Kluyveromyces lactis: one gene and its partner. The protein of the gene in region 1 purifies or fractionates together with the protein of each later gene. This does not show direct contact. Links are inferred from orthologs where the notes say so. Each region holds a gene or a part of one and is shown on either strand. Other genes may lie near its edges.

Region 1 (3,536 bases):
ATGTCAAAAAAAAAAACATAAAAAGGCCAAACTCATCGAATAGTAGATTTGCATGCGATATCCACTTGCATTCTAATCGTTTCACTTTTAAGAGAACAACCAATGCACAACTTAAGTTGATGGTATGGTGATTATCTGTTGTGAAACAGGTTTTTGCGTACAATTAGATGTACCATCGATGTGTCTATGTGCTGAGATCAATCAGTGAGGATTTGGTACAGTTGCTACAGGTTTTTGAGAACATCAGATTGAACATTTTATTTGCAAAATCTGAACCAGATACCCCAGAGACCTGTAATCTGTACACGTATAAATACATGCAGCGCTATCTCGATTGTAATTCTTTCCAAGCTCACTATAGAGTTTTTCTATCAGTCATGAACAAGGATAGAAAAACTCAATCGAGATACTTTTGTTTTGAAAGGAGTTGCATCGTGTTCAATACTACCAAAGTATCTTTCGATGAATCGATTTGTTTTAAATGGATTTACGGATATTTACGAATATTTCATTCCTTACTTACAGCTCTAAGATCGCCGCCTCCTTGCTTCCATAGCCAGAGTGCGTCTATAGCATAATTTCTCACACTGATGTTTGCGGTTTTAGATTCGTCTGCCGCTAACTGCAATGTTTCTATAACTTTACAGTCCTTCATCACATCCCAAAACATGTAGTAGATTTTGTTTATTATTTGCTTGGATCCCCCTTCTTCTTGATACGTTTCAGCATCGACTTCAGGTACAAGTTGAGCGTATGACTGCTTACCGAGTTTATATAGAATTCTTCCGAGAGTTTGAATGGCAATCGACCTTTGTGCAGGGAATTTAGAAAGAGATAAATGAGCAAGTTCTGGGATGGTATAACCTGCGAGCTCTGGAGCGTCCGAATGGTGATGTAAACCATTGTTCGTAGTGGTCAGTTTCCTCCCAGGGGGTACCATATTACCTTTGAAGTCAAATCGACAAACAGAAACGTCATGAATGACTTCTTCTGCCTTGCCTGTGTTTTCTACTTGTTGCATCCATTTTAATTTATCTGGTTCTTGCGGTAGGTCGGGGAAAAACTTCTTGTGTAACTCCTGATCGAAGTTAGGGTCATTTATATCCAAAGGCTCATATTCTTGTTCCTTCCCCATGGTTTTTCTTGCCTTTATAAAATGTACCTCCGCTAGTAAGTCTTTATTACTCATATGATCTATACTTTGAACAAACTGGTACTCTTGGGGTGCCATATCATCTTCGTCGTTGAAAGTTCCATTAGGTACTTCATCGGTTCGATCATACTCGTCAGGTTTGATATTGTGAACTTCCTCTTTCTTCAGATCTCGCTCAAATCTCACAGATTTCAGAGGCTGAACCTCAACAGAATTTATGCCTAAAGCCTCATCCACAGCCTTATCGTCTAATTTGGGTAAGTCTTTAACCTTGTTGCTTCCACCAATCCACGTACCTGGACCTTCGATTTCAGCATACTGCGGAACAGGTGGTTTAGACCTCGATGTTTCACCATCCTTTAACGACAAGGACGTCATTTTTTTGTCAACCCGAGCAATCAACGATTTCAACACATTCGGGTTCAAAGAATCCATTAACTCTTGTCTTTCACGTTCGAATTGCTCAGGTGTCATACTCTGTAACACAGCCAAGTTTTGAAGATGTATTCTTTCTGCTTCAGACAAGGCATTAGGGTCTGTTTTAGTATCATCCGAGAAACACGAGTCATTTCCAACCTCAACAAAGTTAGCATTTGGAGGTTCTGATCCAGTGTTACTTCTCTGCTGTTTCTTCTTCTTCTTTTCCATTAAGCGTTGCTTCCAACTAGATACTTTCTCTGGCTGATGTAACTTGGGGAAGCCAGTAGTAGGCATACCTTGGTTGGAAACGGCATCTGGAGCAACGGTTTCTCTCTCGACAATATCACCAAACAAATCCATGTCCTGCGGTTTGGTTGATTTGCAAGTGCTAAAGATGCTGTGCTACCTAATAGAATAGATATGCTTTATCATCTCATCGCATCACATCTGTTCATCCAAAGACTTTCATGTGAAGCCTAAAATAATAAATAAACCCACACACCACATATTTAAATCAAGAGGCCACTTTAATACCCACATAGGAAGGGATTAATCAGTAATAGAACACGTACATTAAATATAGGAAAGATTATATGAAGCTAATGTATGAAATATGAACAGGATTCATTGTTTTTAAACCAGCAAACCCTCCTGGACTCTGTTATTCCAAGTTTTATTATATCAACCATGATGATTAGTATGATTCACAATTATTTTGAGTGGCTTATGACATAGAGCCGTATCCCTGGCCGCGGCTCAATACATCACCTTCACTTTCGTATGGGTGCTTTGAAATAACCCATAGGGCATGAATCAAACCTGGGAAGAATCCTAGAAGGAACAATAGCACATTAAGCAGAAAATCTTTGGTGAAGAAGCCTCTCTTTATCCAAACTGCTACAGGAGGTAGAAAGATCGCAATGAACACTAGAAACCAGTCACGTGCGTGCATATTTAAATGGTTTTTAATTATGGACTTGGATTCTCAACAATTGACCATGTACCCCAATGTAAATTATCTGCTCTGTCATAGAACAAGGCCCCGACAGTACCTGGAATCGCAGCGTTAAAATCCAGTTCTCTTATATAGTTGCGTTGATTTTACAAGCTGCAATATACCAATAGCAAATCCCCTGAAATTGCACTACGTAGTTTTTGCCGTGATGATGCTTCGCCAGCAGTCTTTAGGCCCATGGACTTAAATTGCATCTGAGGTTCAGAGCAAAAAAGAGATTATCAAAAGGATAAGAAAAAGGAAATGGCAAAAGCGGGTAACAAATAAAGAAGAATCACTCAATCACGTGATAACGATTTTATTTACCCGGTGGTTGTGTTTCCCGGGTAATAATATTTACATATGGCCAAAATACATTGGTTGCCTCAAGCAGGTTTTGAGGACAATGACCCCACCTCAATACAGCATGATATTGTGATTGAGAAAAAAGCTTGGTAAAGTTAAGCACCTCATGCTATGGTTCTTCTGAAGCTCCAATTGTGTGACTTGGAAAAAGGGCCGAAAGTTCTAGACACTCAGATTATCTAGAACGTTCTACGAAAAAAAAGGAAAAAGAAAAAAAGATCTCTTGATATATCATGTTGCTAATAATAGATTTATCAGTGCCCATGGTAGTCTAAAACAGAAATCTAGATCTAGATCTAGATCTGGTGTTACTTTACTGCAAATAGCAAGAAAAGCGAGATTTAATCTCTCAGGTCATGACTGCATTGCTTTTTACCACTCCACTGTACTTCAGTGAGATCTCAGTTAGCAACTAAAAGGCGAAAGGCGTCACGAGCTGCGATCTTCACGCGTAACGTTATTTTAAATTCCCAGGATAAAGTCAGCCCTCTGCATAGTTAAATGATCCTTTCTAAATCCACTGTACTTCCACTGTATCACCAAAAGTAAACTCTGCCAGATCTAGACAAACAGGCTGCGTACAATAGCCAGTCGGTCTGAAGA
Region 2 (3,260 bases), about 760 kb from region 1:
ATTATTTTCGTTTCGGTTTATTAAAAGAGTTGCATCAGTTCTTAGTAGGTACCGAATTCGACTCAGCAGGGATGCCGTCATTAGTGGCATCCTCCTTTTGTTCTACTTCAACTTTCGAATGCTTTTCAAGAAGTTTCTTATTTTGAATTTTGTTCTCAATCAAGTTATCAAATGCAACTATGGCTCTGACCAGATTACTTATGTAAATGATCATTAGTTCGTCATTGGTTTTAACTGTGAGGGCTTTTTCCAAATTGTTGGTAACATTGTCTAAGACATGACTTGAGCCGATCATTTCATCTTTATCTGGGGTTCCGAGGTTTGGAAGAAGATTGAAAATGTCTTGCAATTTTCCTAAAATTATGTGGTTCACAGGTAACTCGTTGTTTGCCACTTTTTCCAAGTATGCTACTATGTCTTTCAATTTTCTTTGCAAGCCCCTAAGAGAATTTAATTGATTAGTTAGCTTTATAGATAAACCAGCTGCAGCTTGATCACGGACATCTTTGAGTAGATGTTCAACACCAATTTCTTCCGCCTCGTCTGCTTCCACAGTGCTTGGGATATGTATAAAGGTCCGCTCAGTCGAAGTACCATCATCCTTGATCTGTTCCACAGCCACATATGCGTTCGTTGGTAGTCCGATATCCTCTTGTTTCACATCGAGTATCAACAACACGGGATTATTGTTGGTACTGTACTTCTTGAACAACTCGTTAATCTTTAAATCAGAAGCCCTTAATTTCCCACCACTGTGATACCAACCAATTAGCTTCTCTTTCGCATTGATCTTTTTACACATCTCGTTCATGGTCTCGATGTAGTTGTGATCTAGGAACCAAACGTCTGGATTCTTCTCGTCTTCTTCGAACGGCAACGCAAACGAATTAGTTATCCTCACGGTTGCCGTGGAACTATCACCTAGAATGACACCTAAACATCTCTTGTTCTCCGGAGTATTTGTACGCTGATGATGGTCTAATACGGAAAGTAACACCAATGGTGCAACTGAAACTTGTTCGTAAGGTACAGACATTATCAATTGGTTGTTGCCAAGCTGTTTCCAATTTATAGTTTGATTTCTATTCTCTTAGCTTATCAGAAATGCAGATTGACTAAGCACTTTTTTTGACTCTCTTTTATAAGTAAACCCCAAAACGCTAGATTGGTCACGGTAATTCAATTAGTACAATCTCAAAGTATTATCACAGTTTCGCTTTCAGGAGTGTATAGATCTTCAAGTGCCCCATTATTTCAGGTATTTTTGTCAAATTAATATTTGCCACTAATGTTCTTAATGCTATTTCATTTTTTTTATTTTCAAATCTCGAAATATTAGGAACTGCGAAGCGAACATAATTCAATGCTTAATATTAAAAAGATTCTGTGCAATGAGATGAGATGAAAGGACATGTTTATACGGTTAGGGAGGAGACAAGACGGCTTACGGTTTGTACGAAGACCTTGGGTATACTCTAGAAAATAAATATAAAGATGCCATTTGGCCAAATTGTGATTGGACCTCCAGGGTCTGGTAAATCAACGTACTGTCATGGTTGTTCCCAGTTTTTCAATGCAATCGGAAGACATGTTCAAGTGATAAATATGGATCCAGCCAACCATCGGCTCCCGTATCCGTGTTCGGTCGATATTAGAGACTATATCACGCTAGAAGAGATTATGTCAGAACAGCATTTGGGTCCGAATGGTGGGTTAATGTATGCGATAGAGTCTTTAAATGAGTCGATCGATTTGTTCATATTGCAGATCAAATCGTTAGTACAAGAGGAGAAAGCATACCTAGTCTTTGACTGTCCCGGGCAAGTCGAATTATTCACACACAATTCGGCGTTGTTCAAGATTTTCAAACGACTAGAGAAGGATTTGGATATCAGGCTATGTGTTGTGAATTTGATCGATTGTATTTACATTACTTCTCCCTCGCAGTACGTTTCGATCCTTCTACTTGCACTAAGATCGATGCTAATGATGGATCTTCCACACATCAATGTCTTCTCAAAGATCGATATGCTAAAGGGATACGGAGAGTTGCCTTTCAGATTGGATTACTTCACGGAGGTCCAAGAATTGGAATATCTAAATCCACTTATTGAGAAGGAAGGGTCGGGTGTATTAGGGAGAAAATACTCAAGGCTCACTGAAACCATCGGTGAAATGGTCTCTGATTTCAATTTAGTTTCTTTCGAGGTCCTTGCCATTGATGACAAACAATCGATGATCAATTTACAAAGTGTTATAGATAAAGCGAACGGATACATATTTGGTTCGAGCGAAATAGGAGGAGATACAGTATGGGCAGAAGCTAGTAGACAAGGCGCAGCCATGGTCAACTACGACGTTCATGATAGATGGATCGAAAATAAAGAGACGTATGATAAACTAGAAAAGGAAGCACGTGACCAGCAGCTCAAAGAAAGGGAAATGCAAGCAAAAGAGATCGACGTCAACGAAGACGACGAATGGGAATCGGCGCTCAGGGAATGGGAAGAAAAACAAGGCACCAACTATGTTAGGTAACTGATGCATATCCTGCTTCCGTTACCACACCCGAACCATCCACCTTTCTTTTGCGTGAACTTTTCTGTTTTTTTTGCTGGGTTTACTACTCTATAGTAGGGGATCTTTAGAAATCTTATTTTTTCAAGATTTTGTAGACAAGGTAGCACATTAAAAGAGATGCAGTATTTACTTGCTGGGTCAAAAATGTGTCTCGAATCTTTGATGCGATGAGATGGAAGAGACTAAGTAGCGGAAAGAGAGCTAGGTGATGCATGCAGTTGGTGTAGTGATTTAAAGCGGGGAGTGTTATTCCTGCATGGATACTGATCTATTTTTTTTTTCCTGCGCTGGGCTGTTGTTTTGGCCTAAGGGACATGTTTCCCAGAATGAGTAAAGGATGGGTATGATCCTTATTTCTCAGATGAGAAGGTTAGGTGTGCTATTAGTGAGAGTATGTATATATAGAGGTAAAGAATTCTTCTTACCTATTAGCCTTTCTTTTCCCCTTATACTCTCTATTGTTTAACATTAGTCTGTGTATCAACCACCTTCATTCAGCTGAAATTATAATAACAATAGTTAAAGGTTATTTACTCAAAGGCGTACTTGCAGGCTTCAAAAAAAAACTTTTCATAATCAGTGCCATGGTTCGCCGGTTCAGTGGGCAACGAATCGTTTCAGAGATCGATTTCGCTCCTCCAAGCTCCATGCTGCTTACCGAGGAAGATCTGTCAAATATT

What was found.
Region 2: the proteins of RBA50 (region 1) and GPN2 purify together in Saccharomyces cerevisiae (affinity purification with mass spectrometry; 3 studies listed by BioGRID, with this or other methods). This does not show direct contact. The link is inferred for Kluyveromyces lactis from reciprocal best matches to the Saccharomyces cerevisiae genes RBA50 and GPN2.

What each region holds. Positions count from the first base shown.
Region 1 is NC_006039.1:66,828-70,363, forward strand, and holds RBA50 (Rba50p), read right to left. Parts: upstream 1,934-3,536; coding exon 509-1,933; downstream 1-508. Other genes in the region: SNA2 (Sna2p), read right to left, coding at 2,298-2,525. UniProt on the Saccharomyces cerevisiae protein: Forms an interface between the RNA polymerase II enzyme and chaperone/scaffolding proteins, suggesting that it is required to connect RNA polymerase II to regulators of protein complex formation.
Region 2 is NC_006039.1:825,885-829,144, reverse strand, and holds GPN2 (GTPase GPN2), read left to right. Parts: upstream 1-1,494; coding exon 1,495-2,538; downstream 2,539-3,260. Other genes in the region: proteasome regulatory particle lid subunit RPN8, read right to left, coding at 35-1,036; DSE3 (Dse3p), read left to right, coding at 3,165-3,260. UniProt on the Saccharomyces cerevisiae protein: Small GTPase required for proper localization of RNA polymerase II and III (RNAPII and RNAPIII). May act at an RNAP assembly step prior to nuclear import. Required for establishment of sister chromatid cohesion.